4 linked regions of the Drosophila melanogaster genome follow. The protein of the gene in region 1 interacts with the protein of each later gene in a pairwise test. Each region holds a gene or a part of one and is shown in the gene's direction. Other genes may lie near its edges. The genes, in order: Slmap, moon, CG15764 and Patsas.

Region 1 (8,712 bases):
AATATCAGAAGATATCGTCCTCCAGGAAAGGTCTTGGCGTTAGTACCTGTTTTCGCCGTGATGCCAGACCGGGCTTCAGTCTGGGCGCCACACTACTACTGCCAGGAAGAGTCTTTCCTTTCCTTCGGGATCCAAGGAGAGTAGCCGTTGAAGGCAAATCCACTCGAACGGCGACAGTATCGATAATCCCGTATTTTAGCTGTCTTGTAGAGCTGGAAAAACATTGATGTTTACCTCCATCGATGTATCAATACATCGAAATTTTTAAGGGTGTTTTTTAATGTATTTTAGTCATTATCATATTAAAAATGAATACCAAAACTAAATCAAAATGGGTAAAAGTTCTTTATAAATTTAAAATTCATACTTTGGTGTTTTTATTGCCTGAAAATCAAAATGAAACTTAAAACTACTTTCTCGTCAAACACAAAAATTATAATGAAAAATGAATTCAATTTAAAAGAAAATAAAACAAACATCGATAAAGCTGCAAACTATAATTAAGATATGCACTCATTATACCCGTTACTCATAAAGTAAAAGGTTATACTAGATTCGTTGAAAAGTATGTCAGGCAGAAGGAAGCGTTTCCGACCATATAAAGTGTAAATATTCTAGATCAGGATCAATAGCCGAGTCTATCTGGCCTCTCTCCGTATGAACGTCGAGATCCCAGGAATTTTAAAAAGCTAGAACACAGAAAAAGACGCAGCGCAAGTTGGTTGACCCATGTTGCCACGCACACAAACCTGCCAGCCCCACTCTAACGCCCTAAAACCTCCCAAAAATGCCGCGCAAAACACACATTTTTAAACCTTTTTTCGATATTTTTTTCATAATTCTATTAGTCGCTAAAATTTATATCGATATGCCAAAAACTTTTTACACGCCTACTCTAACGACCAAAAGCCGTCAACCCGGTCACGCCCACAATTTTGAACAATTTGTAAACTTTAACCGTTGCATGCTCTAAAGGTTAAAGTATTGCCTTCAAATCCTCGAAAATGAATATTTTATTCGATATTTACGGCAATAACCAACCCTTTGAGAGTGTTCAGTCAAAGACACTACAATAATTCTTTATTATTCTAGAGACTTTGGTTCAGTAGAACAGTTGCGATAGCAACCTTTGTAATCAAAAATCGTTTCAGCAGGTAAAACGCGCCATTCCAACTGGATTTTCTATACATATATATTTTATTTTCTATAACCTATTTCTATTGTTTCAAACTATATGGGCGTTCATCAATTACTGTGCGGATTAAGTTTGCAATGTTTTCAGAAAAATAAGTTGTTTCGTCGAAATCCGAATCCGCGCAAGTCTGAGCCAATGTAGTAGCGTAGAGCACTTGTTTTCGATTCGTCAACGTTTCATTATTTTGTCAATAAATGACAGAATTGACTGCTGTTGCCTTTGTGGCAATTCACTGACTGTTAAATTAATATGTATCCTCATTACGTGGCAAGACAAGTTAGTATTATTCGCACTTGTTTGGTGTCTTGCCCCACTTAATACATTTGTCTGTCTTGCCATTAGCCGATTAGCTTAGCAAGATCTTTCCCTGCAAATGGTGATGGGTAAAACAGAAAAATCTAACATCGATGTCCGAAAATTTCGATGTTTCCGATTTTTTTTTAAATATCTATGTAGCGCTATCTCCGATGTTTCTTCCAGCTCTATTTTGTAGTTTGCGAGATCACAGCCTTCAGTCAGACAGACCGGACCTGATCGAATAGTGTTTATGATCAGGAGTACACTATACTTTAAGGTTCGGAAACACATTTTTATGCCGACTACAAACATACCCTTAACCTTTCTAGCATACGACATTGCTCTAAAACATTTTAAAATTCCGAAATCTCCTTTCTTATTATAACAATTTTAGAAAATTATTTGTTTCTTTTTATTGGAAATGTAATTGCAGAACATTTGTATGCCGACTACAAACATACTCTTAACCTTTCTAGCATACGACATTGCTCTAAAACATTTTAAAATTCTTAAATCTTATTTCTTATAAAAATTTTAGAAAATTATTGTTTGTATTTATTGGAAATGAAATTGCAGAATGGAATGGTTCTATCGTTGCATGTCAACATAGAAACTGGTATATGGTATATAAACTGGTATATTGTATATTATTATATACAATAATGCTTAGCGCTTTTTTCATCGTTCCGTGTTCATCACCAGTTGATTGTCGCTATTTTGACGGAAATATTTTAAGTATGCACACAAATTTACCGCGAAACCAGGTGTTTTTGTACAACAATTGTTCAAAGTTAAAGAAAACTAAAAAACACGGGTAGAAGGTTGCAACAATTAATACAGGAAAATTACAAAATTCCAAGGTAAGCCAAGCGTGCATTGTAAAATAAAGGTAAAAACGTTGCGCAATATCAAACATTTATATTATTGCGAATTTAATGTTCTTGAACTTAAGCGGTCCTCCCCGTACCATATAATTTATTTTTAAATCAAAAAAGTAAACAATTTCCAACCGTTCCAAACATTTTTAATGCCTGGTTTAAGTTGTCGTAATTAATCGGCACATCCTTAACTCGAAAATTGCTTAATTCATAAGAATGACCAACTAATGGCATAGTTTTTTGTTTACAATAATTCTTGAAAACATTGCTATTGAACGTACATATTTTTGTATCAAATGCAAATTCATTCTGTATGTATGTATGTATGTATGTATGCATTTACATATGTGTGTATATCTTATGTGGTCGGAAACCTTTTCAAATTTTCATCGGGAAAAGACAAATTTTATAGTTACATTAAATTAAAGCAGGCCTTTAAAATTTGGATTCATTGTCAATGTTTCGGCTAGTCGGATTTGTCAAACAGCAGCCACTCGTGTATTACTAATTACTAACTTGTTAATCCGCTTTTGTTCTCGTATCCCCAAAGGTTTGTTTGGATGTAAAGTAATGGTCTTGGTGTGCAATGAGTGGTTAAAAAATAATGTTGATGAAGACCAGACGTCAAGTTCATTATCGCCGACGCCAGCATCAGGAGCAGTCGGATCAACGGCATTAAACAGAACTGGCACAACCGACACGGCCACGGAATTACCTCAGACGACCAGATATCCATCCGGGGAAGAACCTGCTGTGAAGCCAGAGGAGGCGCAATACGCTTTAAACATGGAAACTGAAAAAAATTTGGAGCAGGACAATTTCTTTCATATAATGGACATAAAAGAAGATATGGCTGATAGTAACAACGAGGCGTCCACGAAGAACCAGGAAAATAATAATATGGAACTTTGTGATTCCAACACAGTATGTATTGACCGACGTCCGGCTGAAGTTTCCCAGCATGCTATGAATATGGCCATGAACTCTGTGCTGAATGCAAATAACACCGGGGTTGGAGTTCGAGTAACTACTGCCTGCAGTCTGTTTAGCCCACTAGGAGTACTAAACAATAGTGCTTTACAAAGGGAGGTGGCATCGGAATGCGGCACTTTACAAGTCTCTTCAGTGCCCCCAACTTCTGGCGTAGATCTAGACATAGGATTGGAGTCTGCCCCAACGCCATGTAAGGGTGCAGCAAAAATCGTACTCCTATGTGAACCAAAGTCGCACAAGTTTGAAACGAGATCTATATTGCTGCAGCCCAACCAGGATTGCAAGGTGGGCCGCCTTATAGCTAAAAGTAAGGCGGGTGAGGGGAACGCTATATTTGACTGTAAAGTATTGTCAAGAAACCATGCGATTTTGTGGTACACTCCAGACGGTAAATTCTGGGTCAAAGACACAAAATCCAGCAACGGTACCTTTATTAACGACAACAAGTTGGGTAGTGATCCAGCGGAACTACATTATGGCGATATTGTGAAGTTCGGCGTTGAGGTAATTGAGAATTCACGTCAGGAGGTACACGGGTGTATCCTGGCCCGTGTCGCCCTCTTTCTACCCAATGGACAAGAGGCCATTTCAGTTGAGGCAGAGCAGATGATGTTGACTGTGCCTAACCGAATCAGCTTTGATGAAGTGCAGCGCCTAAGCTCGTTCCTCCAAGAGGCTGCACAAAGGGAAAAATCTCTGAAAGCTAAATTAAGCAGCTTGCAAGGCGTCCTTGATAACACCAGAAAGAACTCTGCGATGTGTTGGCAAAGCATGATCACTGAAGACCAATTGCTTCACAAGATAAATATTCTGGAAAAGAAACTGCAAATGATGGAAAAGAACATTCCAGAGAATGCACTGCGAAACGAGGTAAGTCCCATTAGCGACCGATTAAAAAATTAAGCCTTTGTTTATTTTTTACAATTTTATCCTGTGATCCTGGACAACTATGAAAGCAAGAATACTGGTATTAAGCATGAAACTAAGCAAAACCTCAAAAACCTTTCACACGAACAATTAAAAAAGTTTGTTCATAAATACGTACACACCTTTCCGTTAGCCTGTATAACGGAATCTCTAAAAAACCATTTTTGCACACTTGTGTTTTCCTTTTAATTTAAAGATTTCAATATGCAAATTTTTAATAAATCTGTTTCCCAAACCGGACAAGATAAAATAAATTGAACCAAATCTTATAATGAATTGTCTTAACTACAAACATAATCAAAATGTTTAATGCACAAAAATTAAGCAAATCTGAATCTAAGCAATTTAATTCGGTCCCATCAAATTATATCTAGTGGTTGTGCCTTTAAAACAAAGCAGTATATAATGGCTTTAGAGTTTCATTTTGTTATTCATTCATTGATTCCTTCATTTTTATTATTTGAATACGCATTAATTATAATCATTTGTATAAGGTGTATTGTATTTTAATTGTGAGCAAATGGTATTTTGGTGCCACCGATTGGTGCCAGTGGAGTAATTTGTTATACATATTTTGTAAACGTTACTTTTTATTTGTTTCTAATTTTTAGGTTAAAGTATATTTTCTCTTTTTTTCTCAGTTTTTATATAACAGAAAAAATAAATCCTTAAACAAATTGTGCTTTGCTGACCCAATCCTCACATTTGATACGAACAGATCATTGCTATTATTTTTGTACAAAATAAGGGACTCCTATTTGATACCAAAAGCTGTTTCCCACCCCACACTTTCTAATTTACAGAATTAAAAGAGTTATATTCTAATGTATATACAGTTTGTCAAGAAACTGTTTACACACTGTGAAATAAGTTGAATTTTTGACTTTAAAGCTAAAAATAAAGGGTTTTTTGCTTAATTAAACGCAATTTTTTTATAAAATATAATTAAACAATATTTATTTTACTTATAAATCAAAAAACAAATTAAAAATATTAAATATACAAGAAAATAAACAACAAATTCCAAGTTTACACACTTTTGAGACTGTCAAGAAACTCTTTACACATTTTGTTTTCCTACTTTGTTTTGTTCTTTTTCTTAGAACGAACTCGATTTTTCCGTTATTTTTGGCTTTGCATTGCTTTTTACAACGCTTCTATTGAAATTTTGTTGACTTTGCTTGTGAAATTTTGCTGATCAAACGTGCTTAAAGCGAATTATTAAATTTAATAAAATGCCTGGAAAGAGATTAACTTTTAAAGTTACCCAATTAATAAACTATAACCACCAGTTGGGAAAATCTTTTCCAGAATTAGTATAAATGTTTCCTGTATCCCGTAAGACCGTCTACAATGTTTTAAAAGGCTCGGAAAAAGAGGGCAGGCTTGAACCTAAGAGTGGTGGTGGGCGGAAAATTAAAATTAAAAAGCGTGTAGACCGCTTTATTATGCGAATAGTGATTGCGAACCCCCGAATCTCGGTCAGATCACTTGCTCTGGATATCAGGCAAGAATGTCACCTAGCTGTGTCACACGAAACTGTGCTCCAAGTCATCCTACGCCATAGGTACTCTTCAAGAGTTGCAAGGAAAAACCCTTTGCTGTCAGATGCCAATATTGAAAAGCGTCATTTATTCGCTGTGAGCATGATAGATCATGCGGAAGAGTACTGGGATGACGTCATATTTGGTGACGAAACAAAAATGATGCTCTTTTATAACGACGGGCCAAGCAGAGTATGGCGCAAACCGTTGAGTGCGCTAGAAAAACAAAATATCATTCCAACGATAAAATTTGGAAAAATGTCACTGATGGTGTGGGGCTGTATCACCAGCCGTGGAGTGGGAAAACTAGCCTTAATTGAGAGCACAATAAATGCCGTGCAATATCTAGAAATGTTAGAAAACAAATTTGAAGGCCAGTGTAGAAAAAATTAGTCTGGTTAGCAACAACAAGCCAAATTTTAAGTTTTACCAAGACATGATCAGAAACATAAAGAGTGCAATGTACGCACCTGGCGCCTTAATAACTGTGGTAAAGTGATCGATACGCCCCCTCAGAGTCCTGATCTGAACCCCATTGAAAATTTGTGGACCTACTTAAAGAAGAAGGTGGCAAAAAGGGACCTAAAACACAACAACAGCTTATGACTGTAATAGTCGAAGAGTGTGAAAAGATCCCGTTTGAATATGACCTGCAAAAACTTGTCCAATCCATGAAAAAAAGGCTTCAACTTGTAGCTAAAGCCAATGGGGAACATACTACATACCAAAACTTTTAAAATTTTAATAAAATAATTAAAAAATTTAGGATTAAACTTCGATTTAGTGTTTTGTGTAAAGAGTTTCTTGACAGTCTCAAAAGTGTGTAAACTTGGAATTTGTTGTTTATTTTCTTGTATATTTAATATTTTTAATTTGTTTTTTGATTTATAAGTAAAATAAATATTGTTTAATAATATTTTATAAAAAAATTGCGTTTAATTAAGCAAAAAACCCTTTATTTTTAGCTTTAAAGTCAAAAAGTCAACTTATTTTACAGTGTGTAAACAGTTTCTTGACAAACTGTACATACATGTGCTCTAGGGCTCTAAAACAAAGAACTCATACAGAACGGTAAAAATACAGATAGGCAAGCAAATTGAGACCATACGAATATGCGATTTTAAACTTGTGCGTGAAATAAGACAAAACAACAAAAAGGTACCGAATACAGGAAATATTCTATAGCTCGAAAATTCAACCTTTTAGCTTTTTGAAAGAAATTAATATACCCTTATAAATGGGTTTAAAAAACTCGAAGAGGACCTTTTTCCGACTTAATGGTCAGTAGCTCCTTTGAATATTAAAATTTTGTCTGCAAAAAATTTTAAGTATATTTTGGTAAAATTTGATTTTTTTTTTTTAATATTTCTCTCTTTGTCTTCAATAGATTGTAAAGCTTCTTGAGGACAAAACAACGTACCAGTTGACTGCCAAAGAGGCCCTGCGGAAGGTCTACCAGGAACGCTGCGATGCTATGCAAATGCTCTCTAAGATGGAGATGGCCTACGCCACTTCTGAAAACGAGTGCGGCATACTTCGCGCTCAAGTTCTAACACTAAAGCAGACGCTGACTGATTTCAATACCCGGTTAGAGGAACTTCAGCAGGAGTACATGGAATTCAAGAAGGAGTCAGTGCGCCAAGAACAAGAGGCTAAAGAGCAAGAATCACGCAGCTTAGAGGTGCTAAATGGAAAGCTGACGACGCAGGAGCTCGAGCTTAAGGAGCTTCGTCTGCAGGTCTCGCGAATCCATCGCGATTTATCTGAGTCTGATACTGAACATTTGAAGGAGCGAATTGTCTTAAAAAACTTAGATACAATAAATCTTGACGATTATGACCACGCTCAAGATAGAGCGCTAAATGAAAGGGATGATAATGAAAGTTCTGACGATGATATTTTGTCTGTGTCACCAGCTAAAAATGTGTTGTCTGAAACGAAAAAAAGGGTAATGCTTATAGCAGTCTTAATGCTATTATATATTAATATATTCCTATTTAATTCTAGAAGCTAAAACTAAGTAATCCCGATTTAGAAGAAGGCAATTATAAATCGAACGTCTTAAGATTGCTAAAGAACTCCGATCTTGGCAAGGGAGAAGAAGGATCTTCAGTGCTTAAAGCTATTTTTAATGGTGACGATGAAGCCTTTGAATGCAAAGTTAAGGAGGAGGAGGATATGGCAAACGATTCAGTTCCAACAGAGTTCGTTAGCAGAAATACATCCGAAATCGTGGATCACTTTAAAAACCATTCTTCAACTACACATACAATTTTAGAGGATTCGGCTGCAACGAAATTGTCAGCCCCTAATGCGGAAAGTAAGGAAAAGCTTGTAGACGTTGAGGAAAATCTTAATATTCCAAATGCATTACCGACGGAGCAGGCAATTGATATGTTACAAGAGGAATGTGATACGTACAAGAAAAAAACAGCTCATTTAACAAGTGAAATACACTTCCTGCAAGGACAAATTGAGCTATTAAAGAAGCAGCTTGAGAAAGGCGTTGATCACAATTTTGCAACAAACTTGCAGGAAGAGGAAAACAGTTTACCGCGTGAGACGTTAGAGCTAATTGATAATCGAGATAGCACAGAAGGTGTTTGGAATGAGGACATTGCAACCATTAATAACCCCAACGTAGAAAATGAAGAAGAACTAATTGTTTACAAAGAGCTTCTTGAAAATTCGGAGCTTAACAACATGCAGCTTCGCAAAGAAATCTCTGAGCTGCACTTAAAGCATAAACACATCCCATTTAGTAAACAAGAGTTACTATGCCGCTTTCTACCTCTTGGCTGTGTTGCCATCGGCCTGCTCATATATTTTCTTTCCAGTCGAATTTAAGCGCCATTCTTTTAGCTAATGAGGAAAACTC
Region 2 (4,142 bases), on another chromosome or scaffold:
TTCGCAGACAATCCAACGTAAAAGCCGCAAGTGACTATTGACAGTTTGAACAAGGACTACACGAAACTTGGTTCTGGATTCGAATCAAGAAGATCACCAAATATATATTATTGAAATACTCAATTATTAGCGAAACTCTTGATTTTATCGATTTATTATGCCATTCTTTTTAAGTTAGTAACCAATTCAAGTGACTCGAAAGTTTTGATCGCCCATGCCATTTATGATTCAATTCAATCTATGCCTATGGCCACAAATAGTCGAGTAATTTATCGTATAAACTGCATTTTCAAGCCAAACTACTCACGGCCCAAATCAGCCGCATAATCAGCGCTATCGCCATCATCATCGGCACTATCATTATCATTATCATTATCATCATTGTTCCTTGTCGCGTCGTTGGGGATCGAAGGTTGTCGTTTGCTATTGGGGGGGTTACACGGGTTATTGAGGGTTACAAGGAGGTTACAAGGTGGTTACAGAGGGAGGAGGTTCATAGTAGGGAGCCAGCCAACGACAGACAGAGTCATTTATAAAATTTCCACCCGAACGTGTTAAATGGCGTCAATATTAAAAGTTCAAATATGACGCTGACGATGACGACGCTTGGGGAAAATGGGCAAGGGAAAATGGTTATGTGCGGGTGCATGGACGGTGACTTTAGGGGTTCGCGGGTCTAGGGCGTGATAAAATCGTAGGTTTGGCCAGGCAGGCAGACTAACATATATAGACGGCAAACGAATCAACAAACGTTGAAGCTATTATCGTTGTCGCAACATCGCACAACTACAGATACAACTGCGGCGTAACATGCATGGGTGTCTCTGGTCTAAGATAAAGGGGGTTCGTAACTGAAGTCTAGAAAGGGATATTTGCACTTTTAGAAAATAATAGCTACAAATCAAAGTCTTGAAAGTTCAAAAGCAGGCAATCATCTTGTTTTAAAGAGTATCCTGGTACCTTTATGTCTTGTCTTAAATGTAGTACTTAAATATACGAGTTTAGATCCCTTCTGCGAATGCCACTGCATACACACACACATATGGCATATGGTCCTTGTTGCTATTGCTCTTGCTGCTGCTCATCATCATCTTTTGGCGTTAGCAAGTGCTTGGCGGCAACTTCTAATGGCGGCATTATGCCCGCCAAACTCCACCCCCCTCCCCAAGCCTTATTCTGCTCATGAGTGTGTGTGTGTGTTTGTGTGTGTGTGTGTGCGCCCTGCGCAAAATGAAAATGAAACTGTTGCAAAATCCCATAAAACGGCCAAAAAGCTTTTGTAAATGACGCCAACAGCTGTCGATGGCAAAGCAGACAACGTCGCCGTCCGCCCAATTTGCCAAAGCACCCACCCACTCACTCATGAAGCCCCAAACACCCCCCCACCCCTTCGGAAACACCCCCTTCGTTGTACCACGATTGACATCTATGTGTGGGTGCACCGCTAAAAAATACTTCTATTTGAAATGATCGCTTTGTCTTAAGGTTTTTAAAACATTATAACATAGCATAGTAATACATAGTAATACTGAACTTGCCACAATAGAAACATTTGTATTCGATTTCAGATTATGTAACGCATATGTGAAATAATTTATTAGACTTAAATTGTTTTCAATACCAAATTGTTTTCACTGCTTAATTGTGTGTTAGAAATGGGGGTTAGATGGCGCTGCTAGTGGTGAGTGGGGCATCGTGAAGGTTTTTGGCGCGTTTTAATAAAGCGACAATGACATTTTATGAATTTTCCACTTTGTTCTCGGTCCACGCCCACAATACGCCAACCCAACACCCCCTAACCCGCCGATGACACCACGATGCCAGCCCCTTTGTGCTGTTTTCATTATTTGTTTGTTTGCCGAGAACCACAGACTGGCGGCCGGTTGGAATCCAGGACTCCAGGACTCCAGGACTGTAGGACTCCAAGACCAGGACTTCCAAAACTCCAAATGAATTGACATTGTCTGTGTATTCGACGGCTGGTTCAGTGTGTGTGTGTGCCGTGGGTTGGAGGGGGCAAGCCCCCGTGTGTGTTAGTGGGTGCTGGTGCCTGGGTGTTGCACAAAGGCGTGTCCCAGTGTGCCTTTTGATATCGGATTTCATTTATAATTAGCTGCAAAGTTAACGGTTGCCAGCCATACCTTGACTTGTGGTTGGTGGTGGCCCCGGTCAAGTAATTTGCTTGTCAGTTGGGTTCCCGGGGTTACTTGGCTCACCAGATGGATGGCAAGGCTGCCATGGGGCTGCACTGCAGGTGGTGGAAGCTGTCCAACGGCCAGGAAGATGTCGTAGTTTAAGTTAAAAGAATCTTTAAGCAAGGCTTTTTTTCCAATATTCTAGCCCCTTTCGATTGCAAGATAACTTAAAATTTAAATTATATTACCATTTATAAATGCACATGAGTAAAATTGTTATTATTATTATTGTTATATATAAATATATATCTATATAAATTTATTTAATAGCTTATAACATCGTTATCAGTGTGAACATTCTATAATCCTCCCATGCATTGCGGTAAGTCGATGATCAATTGTATCGATCGATAGCAAGCTTAATCTATCGGCGTAAGCAGCGTAGCTCTCATAAAACAATAACATTGAGAACCAGTCATTTCAACCACATTGCTTTGGCTTTGCCATGGCCAAGATATTGCCCACCGATGGCATCTGGATACCGGAGTCGTGCAGCTTTCCGGAGGATGTGATGATCGATATGATGGAGGGACTATTCCGCGATGTGCCAAACCTAACGCACAAGGAGTACCTGGCGCTGGCCGACCTGCAATCTAGATGGATGGCGAAGCTGGCCAACCGACAGCCGGAATCGAATCCCCTGCCGCCAAAGCCAAAGAAGCGTAAGAAAATCGCTCCAAAGAAGCAGGACCAGCCTGTCGAGGAGAAGGGCAGCGAAGTCGACATCTACGATGTGGACGACAACGAGATGGTCAACAATCGCATCTACATTCCGCGACTGCGTTCCGCTTGGAGAGCTCGCTATTTCAACATTATGATGCGCGCCTTTGTCATCAAACGGGGACTATTGAATAAGCACATTAACTGGCAGATTCTCGACAAGATCATGGCAGCCCCCGACGCAGAGGGACAAGCCGAGCTTCAGGCGTTTGTTGACAAAGTGGTCGCAGGCCAGGAAATGTAGTCCTTACAGCCTCCTAGGATAAGCACCCAAACACATAGATATGTAAATTCAAAATATCAATTGTTTACTCAAATTAAAAATAACAATTGTATAATCAAATCAACCTTTGTAAAATCATACCAATTGAACATAAGCATAGGTGTGAAGCAAAACCAGAGCCAATAAACCATACGAATGCCATCGTCTTCTGTGGGCCAAATCAACAAACGTTTTCCCAATTTCCCCATGAACGGCTCGGTGCCACACACCGAAACATGGGAGAAGTTACAAAGTAAATTCCACGCCCGGTTGCCAAGTGGTAGTCCAAATTAACAGCTAATTACGTGCGAATGAGAGCTACCCGGTTGGGGGATGTGGTCCAAATGTACTGGCTGCGAGCAAAATGGAAAACGGGGCAGGTCACAACGAACACGTACTAGCAACTAAATGGAGAGAAAGCGAGACAGACACCGAGTCAAACAACATTTGAATACGAAATTGCCCTTGAAAAAAGGGTTGCCAGCAAAAAAAAAAAAAAAAAAAAAACAATCAAAAAAAGTACAAGATATTCCAAAAGTCCCTGCGAGGCGAGAACAAAAGTGACAAATTAGTCAGTGGGTGGGGGTGTCAGTGGGAGGCAGTCGACACTGAAAGCGTTAAAATTGAGATGGGGTGCGCCAAAAATATCCACTCGGAAAACGTTGAACTTACATATATAATGCAAGACAACTTGGTCGTTAGACCGGGTCTTTCTGTATTCTTTCTGGTCATTACAACATAATATTGTGGCGGTTGTCATAAGGAAACTTTCACAAATCTGCACACGTAGCTCGATCTCTTTTTGCATAATTACCAGCCAAGTCAAGAAACAATAGGTAGAGGTATAGTAAGTATACATTATCATTTTTCTTTCAAACTTCAAATTGTATAAAATCTGTTCAACGTTTAAGCAACTACAATACGGCAAGTCAGAAAAGAAAAGTTTTATTTTGCTTAGATATTTC
Region 3 (4,274 bases), on another chromosome or scaffold:
ACACAATTATTCTCGTAACAATTGACAGAATCATTCAAATATGGATTGTTATACCTCGTTAAGTTTGTATTTAAATTCCCAATCGAACTGTGTCCAAAAATGGGAATTCTATTTTTTAGCCATTTTTTGTAAATTTTGATGATGTTACCCCTTCCGAAAATGCGAAAAATGACTCAAAAATTATTTTTTCTAAATTGGTCCAAAAGTGATACAGATGGTTAGCCTTCGTTATTAGCTGCTCAAAACAGTTATTTCTTTGGTTTTATGATCATTTTTAGTCAAGTTATGATGAAAACGCTCATCTAAAGTTGTTTAATTTTTGCCAAAATCATTTTTTTCGATTTTCCGTCATAAAATAGTCAGTTTTTTGGCCACAACTTTAAAAATAATTGTCTGAATACGGAATGTCATATCACGTTGAGTTCGTATTTAAATTCCCAATCGAACTGTGTCCAAAAATGGGAATTCCATTTTTTAGCCATTTTTTGTAAATTTTGATGATGTTACCCCTTACCGAAAATGCGAAAATTGGTCCAAAAATTAATTTTCCTAAATCGGTCAAAAAGTGATAGGGATGGTTAGCCTTCGTTATTAGCTGCTCAAAACAGTTATTCTTTTTGCTTTCTGATCACTTTTAGTCAAGTTATGATAACAATGCTCATCTAAAGTTGTTTAATTTTTGCAAAATAATTTTTTTCCATTTTCCGTCTAAGATCTCAGTGTATGTCTATAGTCTTTTGGATGCTTTTTTCTCGTACCTGTCTTTCTATGCGTTTGTTTTCCATTTCACCTGCCCAGTTTTTCGTACTCATCGTTGGCATTCCAAAAAAATGGAGTGCCACGTGACTCCTCGTTGTGGTGGTTTAGGGGGGGGGGGGGGAGGACTATATAGGTCGGGCGGATTGACGCCGCTTGTGCATTGTTTCGAGGGGGCGGACAAAGCACACAAATAACTGTCAAAGTTTCAATTCTTTTCGAAAGTAAAGCCCGGGTAAAAAAAAAAAAAAAAACAAGAAACCGAATCCGAATCCAAAAGCAAACAAAGGCAGAACAATGGTCGAGCAAATTGAAAGCTCTCGATTGGTATTCCTCTATTCCGGACTTGTTTTCCCACTTTTCACTTTTCATTAAAACAGAAGCAGCACGGAAGCGTTGAAAAAAAATCCGCAAAAAACAGCGAAACTAAAATTGAAGTCGCTCTACAAATGGATAAACTCAGTTTGGCAATGGATTTTATTTACAGATCTCATTCAAGGTTCAATTTATGAAACGATTAATAGTTAAAGCAATAAATTTTTTAAAGGGCCGTTCAAGTAGGTTCCATTATCCTTACATCCGCGATGAATGCATGGCTGTTCTGTCCAACCGACACGATAATGCACATACTCATACATATGTACATATATGTTGCACATCAATCCCCCTTTCGCCGACATGCAAAGTGCAACACCTCTCGTTCTTCGAACAATTTTAATTATTTCCACACGCAGCAGCGACGCACTCAGTAAGTCCATGGGCGGCAGAGGGAACCGGCAAAAGAGTGGTCGTTGGAGTGGGATGGTGGGGGGTGGGGGGGCGAACCCGACCGCAGGGAGTGTGTTGTTGGCTTTAACGGGGAATTAAGTCGGGCAACAGGAAGTCAGCGAGCACAATAATTAAGATGAGCGCTCGAGGGGCAATTATGTGACATCAACTTGCCAATTTTAAAACACCCCCGCCCCCCCGCAATCACGAACTCTCCGCATCCCTTTATCCTTCAGTCGAAGGATAATGCGAACGTTTTGGCCAACAGTGGGCTGTGTATAAAGATTTCTAACCATATATAAATATTCTTCGAACTGCATACTTTGCGACACATTCATACACTCAGAGAAAAAAACCTTTGTAAACTTGTAATCTTGGAGTTGGAGTTTTCCGAAACCAGTAGGCCCGTCTCCAACTGGCAACACTTCATTTCACCTAATTTGACAGGGACACACACAACACGTTTGCTCTACGGTTCGGTCGGTAGTACCAAATCTTATATACACTACATCTTCACAGTATAGCCATATATATATATTAATATTATCAAAATTTTCCACTAAACCTGCTTTGGAATGAGCACAGAACATCTGAATGACGCGGCGGAGTCCGTGAGTGCCCGGAGTTTGGCTTTGGATCGCGCTATCGTCAATTTGGTGCACCAGGCCCGTCGCCTCCATTTGAACAGCGTGAATGGCTATACATCTCTGGAGGCATCTCTGGAGAAGGCAGTGCCAGAGTTGCTCACGACTAGGAGTGATACCGCACACCCCACCACCACAGCGACCAGCTCGGCAAGGTCTTTCCCGAAGCGTAGGCCCAGTAGCCTAGCACCACGACCTGCGCCCAAGGCTTTCAAAATGCGCAAGACCGATACGCATCTGAGGACCCCACGTGTCGTCCAGTGTAAGACGGCCCGTATCCCGGTGACGCCACCACCACCGCCACCCTCGCCGCGTTGCCCAAAACCTGGGGAACTTAGTTCGGCCATGGACATGGCCGATCTGCTTCGGATCGAGATCGCCGAGACGGATGCACTGTTGGATCAAATGCTATTCGATGCCAAGGCACTCGAACGCCAGGTGGCGATCCAGTGTCAGTTGCAGAGCGATGCGGAAATGATCCGCAGCCTGGAGATGGAGTACAGTGGGCGATCCATGAGATATCTGATAGAGGCCATTCAGTCGGACTGCGAGAGCCAGGATGTCCAGGATCTCTGGAGCCGATGTCAACGCTCTTTGGAACGCCACGCGGAGCGACAGACGGAGCTGGAGTCCAAAGAGGGTCTGTATCTGGATCGGAATCCAGGCAAGGGCACCGGCAAGGGCACCCAAACCGATATGGCTGACTCTCAGGACGAGATGCTACCTATCTCGTCCAATTCGATTTGCCAATGGTTGCGAAGGGCGATGGGTTCTTTAAGCCAAGAGGATCAGGTGCAGGAGATGGCCATCTAGCGCAGGCCAGCCTTGAATAGTATTTGAATAAAGATACACAACTCTAAAATCACTTGTGTGCTCTGCTGTTTTAACGATGGCCCATAGAAATATTGAAAAGCTGCGATTAGACTAGAACTGCGAGGATTAATTAACTACTACTTGAAAAAGTATATATATTTGTTAACTGATTTATACAGTGATACAGCTCAGTGATTTGACCGAACTCATCTTACAATCTATCTATCCATTTAATAAAAAGATATTCGAAAATTTCTCATTTCTACATTTCGAGTGAAAGTACCACTGTGCCGCCGCAACTTTGTGTCTGCCTTTGAATGGTTGTGTGAGGAAAGTTTTCTTGTTAAGTTGCAGATTGAATGGCGCCGGTAAACACGGTGCGGCAAGTGCAGGGCTCCCAGCTTCGAGGACACCATGCATCCATGCCTCTGATTGAGCCAAATCCTGGCTCATAACTAATTGCCAGCAGCGACGACGATGGCGCTGGCAGCGGTGCAAAGTTTAAATTAAGTTGCGTGTCATAGTCGAAAAGTTTTCCACTTATTCAAAGAGGCACGTGCTCCACTGAGCACTACTCCACGGAGAAACTCCTGTCCTCCACTGGCCAATAACGCCAGCGAAGACGGAGGATTGACAAAAGAAATAATAACCAACGGATGGGAAATATATGCATTACTGCTTTACGTGCAAACAAAGTTGCAAATATAATGGAAAATCCATAAATCACAAGAAGCTACTGATAAAGTTAACCACTTAAGTAATTTAAAATGATAAGTTAACTGGGAATCAACATCGAAAATGCCGTGGTATATTTAATATTTTTTGGATTACATTTACACTTAGTTATTCCAACTAATAAATAGGCTTCTTTTATTTAGACATTTAATCAAATGCATAACATTTAAATGGAATTTTCTCTGCATGTGCAATCTCTTACCGCCATCACACACAGTTTTGTTGGGTTTATCACACTTCATCTTAGGATCATTTCCAGTTGATATATGTAGCCAGTGAATGGCAATCCGTGCTGTTCGTCTCCTCAATTCGTTTTCACCTTTGACTGCGGCTGCGGCGACGTTGATGGCGACTCATCGAAGTCCAGGTAATCTGCGTAGTCGCGTCGCTTGGACAGCGACAAGGTCCAGCAGATGATCCACAGCGGCAGGAAAATCGTGCAGATGACAAAGTACAGCCAGTTGCCATAAATCTGCAATAGGAAAGTATTTTAGTTTATTATCTATGTATGTTAGTAGTGGCAACTGAAATCTTAACTTACCACGGAATCGATAAGTC
Region 4 (5,488 bases), about 10 Mb from region 1:
GCTTAGCCGCCTCCTCCTGAAGTTTCTCCCACTCCTTGAGCTGCTTCGGGTCGGGGAACGAGATGCCGTAGACGCGTTGCAGTGTCTCAGCGTCAGCCTTACCCTCCCAGTAGGTAGAGGAGTTCTTGGTGATCTTCAGGGCCTTCACCTTGCCGGTGTGACGAACATGAGGTCCGCGGCAGAGATCGATCAAAGAACCGCACTTGTAGACAGTGGTGCGGTCGGTGGTCACCTTCTCGTTGAGAATGCGCACCTTGAACTCATTGTATTTGAACATCTCCAGCAGGTCGGACTTCTTCATCTCCAGACGTTCGAAGTTCTGCTTCTCCTTGACAATTTGCTTAACCAGACCCTCCATGGCGCCGTAGTCGTTGGTGGAGATCTAATTGGGCGTTCAATTTAATTTAATTCTTACTGAACATCACAAATTACTTACACCCTCGCCCTCCAGATGCATGTCGTAGTAGAAGCCGTTTTCAATGGGCGGACCGTAGCACAGGTGTCCACCATAGATGCGCTCCATGGCCTCACCCATGATGTGGGCAGAGCTGTGCCAGAAGACGGCCTGCGCCTCAGGGTCGTCGAACTTGAGAAGCTGCAGGGTGCAGTTTCCCTCGAGCACACGGTCCAAATCCCACACCTCGCCGTTCACCTTGGAGATGACGGTGTTGTCAGCGAGACCCTGACTAATGCCGCGGGCCACTTCGTACGGAGTGGTCTCCCAGGAGGTGGCGTCCACCTGCTTGCCATCGGGCAGTGTCACCTTGATGGGCTCACGCTTCTTGGCCGCCAGTTCGGCCTCGTATTCCGCCTTGCACTTCTCCCAGAAGACATTGCGCTCCTCGATGTACTTGGGCAAGGGACTGAGTTCTGAAATCAATATAGCAGAGATCAGTGGAATTTCAGGTATTAGAGAGAAGAAGGCAGCTAATCTTAAAGATATGCTACATATCTTACAGACGGAAGTGCGTTTTGTGTTTTTAATTCTTAGTTAGAATTACTTACCCTTGCGAGTATCTCCACCGCCGGATGGCTTCTCCTTTTTCTCCTTCTTCATCTTGGCAGCCTGCAAATCCATCGGAAATAGGTTAAAAATCAATATAAACCGGAGATATTCAAGTGGCCACAAGTGTGCTACGTATGCAATTAGACAAATGCTCTTTTTCGGTATCTACTTTCGACTGATGTTTTCTTATTGTTTAAACAATTGGGGACATGGCAATGAGCACTTTTCGGTGCTATGTTTTCGGTGCTCCTATCTCTGTTTTATCGAGCCGTCTTTGAGCGTATCTTCGTCGTTTTATGGCTGATGCAATAGAGTAGCAAAAAAAAACAGACACTCATGAAGTTGGTTGGTTGTTAGTGACGTCACAGCCGGCGGCACTGATTCATTGGAGAATCGCATACACTCACACAGACAAGCATAACATTTACACGTGCCAGCAGTAACAGGCGTTTAAATTGAAGTTTAGGTCAATTCTTTTTAGCTTAAAACACCAACCAAAGTTGCGTAGCTGTGTTGTTGTTGTTCTTTCAATTGTGGTTGCTGTTGTTGTTGTTGTTTTGGTGGCTTCGACTGCGTCTGAATTTTCGGCAAAATCCACTGGCAAATGCGGCTTATTTGGCTATAATATCTGCCGCCCTGCGGCGCCAACTTCAACATAATTCGGCTAACTAGCACTTCTCATACACTCGAATGCAGTTCGAAAAGAGTTTAACATGCCTTTTGATTGTTCAAATCCAAGTTATTTAGTTCCGTCACCACGTTGTCGCCCATTTTTTACGAAACAAATTTATCAAAAAGGGGCACAGTGTTACCAGGTGGCAAAATAACAGAGACATGGGAACCTTACAAAATGCAATGCTAGCATCAGTTCAAAATGCAACATTCGTACCAAGCAATATAGTAGTATACATTTTAAAGGTTTCTAGCGGCGGAAAACAAATGTTTCCCAATAATGTTAAAACTAATATAAAAGTCAGTTGATAAACCTTTTTTTTTTAGTTTGCTTATGCCACGAGATTTCTAGTATATTTAAGTTAAGCTAAATGATACCTCGGTTTCAACAATTGACCTTCCAACAAATTAAATATATATATTTTTTCTTTAATACTTCTTGACTTAAATCTTAAATCACCCCTCGCTGAGAAAAGTCTTAATTACCAGTATGTGTTGGCAACACTGCGCGCCCAACTGCGAAAATAACGGTCAGCTGTTGATTTGTTTGGCGCCAAGTCGAGTTCGAAAGTGGCCCCAATTCGAGTCCTGCGATTCGGGACAAATATTGATTTTCTCACAGTGCTGACATAATTTCCTCGCCATCGAGTGCAGTCGTGTTTACCTAGCATTCCACGCCTAAGATTGGCCAAACAGAGTACAAATTTCGGTCGGAGCGTAACGGAAAAAGGCGACAAGATTGCACACCTACTGGAAAACCCCCTGCATCAAGGCAACGGTGGAACGGCGGACCGTCTGGGCGTGGACTTCGAGTTCTACATGGCCTCGAAGGTGCATCCAAGTCCGGGGGCGGCGCGCAGTGTGTGGGCGTTGCCCCTAACCGCCTCCTCCTCCTGCAACATGGTCGTCGCGGAGGAGGATGGCCATGCCCACGCCGACGACATCCATTTGGATCATCGACCGCATTCGCCGCCATTAACGGGTCGCGGCACGGACGGTGGACACGGCAGTAGCGGCGTCGAGGACCACGAAAATGTGCTCCTCTTTGAGGGGCTCGATGGTGCCACCACCGTGAGTTTGGACGACATCTTCGATATTATCAAGAACGGAGAGGTCAGCGAGGTGGAGAATCTCGTGGACAAGTTCGGCATGGAGTGTCTGTCGGCCAGGGATCGTCATGGCTACACGCCAGCCCACTGGATAGCTCTCAACGGCAATGTCCAGCTGATGCGATACCTCATCGAACGCACGGCTCCGATCGATCTGCCCTGTTTGGGTACGCAGGGTCCACGGCCCATTCACTGGGCGTGCAGGAAGGGTCATGCGTCCGTGGTGCAGGTCCTCCTCCAGGCTGGAGTTGCCGTCAATGCGGCGGACTTCAAGGGACTTACACCCCTCCATCTCGCCTGCATGTACGGCCGTACTGCAACGGCGGCCTATCTTCTTGGAATGGGAGCGCTGAACAACCTAACTGACATAAACGGCGATACGGCACTCCACTGGGCAGCGTACAAGGGACATGCCGATCTTATGCGACTCCTCATGTATTCCGGCGTTGAGCTTCAAAAGACGGACAACTTTGGATCGACTCCACTGCATCTGGCTTGCCTGTCTGGTAACATGACGTGCGTTCGCCTGCTGTGCGAGAAGTCCCAGCTGGATCTGGAACCGAGGGACAAGAATGGAAAGACGCCGATCATGTTGGCACAGGCTCATCAGCACCAGGATGTGGTGCGCCTGCTGTACGGCGAGGTGAAGAAGAAGTCCCGTTGGATTCCCTCAGTCTCGGAAAGTTGGGGCTGGCTCTTTGGCGGAGCTGGAGACTCCAAGGGACCGCTGTTTCTATTTCTCTTCTCTGTGCTACTTTGGGGCTATCCCATGTACATGATCCGTGCGATTCCCATTACGTGGAACATATTGAGACGCTCGCACTATTGCTTTATATACTGGAACGCCGTAATGTGGATAAGCTGGGCCATTGCCAATCGCCGGGATCCGGGGTATATACCACTCAGTTCGGATGCCTACTACCGGGCCATCAAGCAGATTCCGTACTTCGACAAACTGAAGAAGCGAAATGTGATGCTAACCCGACTATGTCACAGCTGCAGGTGCCTCCGGCCGCTGCGAGCCAAACACTGCCGCGTGTGCAACCGGTGTGTCTCGTACTTTGACCACCACTGTCCCTTTATCTACAACTGCGTGGGACTGAGGAACAGAATGTGGTTCTTCCTGTTCGTCCTCTCGGTGGCCGTCAACTGCTCGTTCACCATCTACTTTGCCTGCTATTGCGTGATGATCGAGGGCTTCACGATGCTCTATGTGCTGGGACTCATCGAGGCGGTTGTGTTCTGCGGCTTGGGTTGGATACTCACATGCACTTCGGTAAGTGCTTCTTTTCCAAAAATATTAATCGTTTTGACATCATTTGCACTGGCAGATCCTGCACGCCTGCATGAATCTCACCACAAACGAGATGTTTAACTACAAGCGTTATCCTTACTTGCGGGACAAACGCGGACGATATCAGAATCCCTTCTCGCGTGGTCCCATCCTGAATTTACTCGAATTCTTTGTCTGCCTGCCGGACCGGGGCGATGACAACGATCTCCTGCTGGAGGATAACATTTGATTAAGGATCTAGGATCGAGCCCCTGCTCGCCGGCGCAAGCTGCCCGTGCGTGGATAATGTTGCGAGGAGGCAGCCAGAGACCCACTCGGGTAGGCTGCCAGTTTGGTTTTGCTCCGCAGGCTTACTGCTTACTCGAATGCTTTAAAGTTCGAACCAAAGGTCGTCAAGTGCGTGTTTTATCATTTACAATTGCAATCAACATATCCTTGCGGAAGGACAAATCGATAGCAAATTCCAAGTGCAATTCAGAGCATCAATAAATTACATTGCTAAGATTCCATTATTGTTAACGGCTCCAAATCAATTCCTTCCGCAATGGTGTTCAAAGCATCGGCCAGCCGTGCTTTTTGCTTTTTTTAACTAACTAATTACCTTTTAGGCTTGGATAAGAATACGCTTCTCTTGTTAGTTTTTGTACAAAATTGTTATGTATAAAATGTGTTATTTAATGATCTCTATATATTATATACCTATTATAATCATAAATGGTGTAAAGTTCACTAAATGGCTAGGCAGCGGTTAGTCACTTGGACGTGACCGTCACCAGTTTGTTCATTTTGTGTTCGGGGAATTGCACAAGTAATACTAGTAGAAGATCAGATCGGAGAATACGATTATGTTGTGTGTACACTTTGGCATGTATCTTGGGTGATGGGGGAGTCTAGAATGAATCGAATAATTCGTGAAGTAATTGTGCTCGTTATGCTTAGCTCTCAAAGCAAAAATCATAGTTTTCGGGATCCTCCGGTATTGGCGGTGGGTCCTTGCTGATGTCCACACCTTCCGTGTCCAGCAGGCGCAATTTGATCTCCATCGACAGCAGAGTGTCGAAGTCCTCGTTCTTTTGCTTGCTGACCATCGGTTGACCCAGCAGCGCGTTTATTCCATCCGTCCAGTAGTTGAATATGCTTTCGTCGGGTGCCACAAAGTCCAACGTAGAGTGCTCCATGTTTTCGAAGGTGATGGAAAAGGCCAGGTTTACCGCCGATTTCCGAATGCGAGTTTCCTTCATATGCGGGCATTCCTTGCCCTCTAGCAATTGCTTAATCTCACTGATGGGCAGTTTCTTGGGCAACTCCTCCATGGTGGGTATTGTCTTCTCGTCGCAATCTCCGTAATGAATCACCTTGTGATTCGGCGAAAGACGAGCGTACCAGAACTTGTCCTTTGTTCGAGTG

Evidence for each region.
Region 2: the proteins of Slmap (region 1) and moon interact in a two-hybrid assay, tested with the Drosophila melanogaster proteins (one large-scale study listed by BioGRID).
Region 3: the proteins of Slmap (region 1) and CG15764 interact in a two-hybrid assay, tested with the Drosophila melanogaster proteins (one large-scale study listed by BioGRID).
Region 4: the proteins of Slmap (region 1) and Patsas interact in a two-hybrid assay, tested with the Drosophila melanogaster proteins (one large-scale study listed by BioGRID).

What each region holds. Positions count from the first base shown.
Region 1 is NT_033779.5:22,576,901-22,585,612, forward strand, and holds the start of Slmap (sarcolemma associated protein), read left to right. Parts: upstream 1-2,171; 5' UTR 2,172-2,352; intron 2,353-2,849; exon of another isoform or gene 2,850-2,920; 5' UTR 2,921-2,940; coding exon 2,941-4,233; intron 4,234-7,221; coding exon 7,222-7,782; intron 7,783-7,841; coding exon 7,842-8,681; 3' UTR 8,682-8,712.
Region 2 is NC_004354.4:12,071,229-12,075,370, reverse strand, and holds moon (moonshiner), read left to right. Parts: upstream 1-2,552; 5' UTR 2,553-2,640; coding exon 2,641-3,159; 3' UTR 3,160-3,363; downstream 3,364-4,142.
Region 3 is NC_004354.4:5,867,083-5,871,356, forward strand, and holds CG15764 (uncharacterized protein), read left to right. Parts: upstream 1-2,012; 5' UTR 2,013-2,099; coding exon 2,100-2,981; 3' UTR 2,982-3,184; downstream 3,185-4,274. Other genes in the region: GAA1 (glycosylphosphatidylinositol anchor attachment 1), read right to left, coding at 4,021-4,188, 4,258-4,274.
Region 4 is NT_033779.5:12,100,070-12,105,557, reverse strand, and holds Patsas (patsas), read left to right. Parts: upstream 1-2,272; 5' UTR 2,273-2,413; coding exon of another isoform or gene 2,414-2,497; coding exon 2,498-4,063; intron 4,064-4,118; coding exon 4,119-4,310; coding exon of another isoform or gene 4,311-4,322; 3' UTR 4,323-4,793; downstream 4,794-5,488. Other genes in the region: ThrRS (Threonyl-tRNA synthetase), read right to left, coding at 1-382, 437-870, 1,006-1,066, 1,502-1,663; Ced-12, read right to left, coding at 5,017-5,488.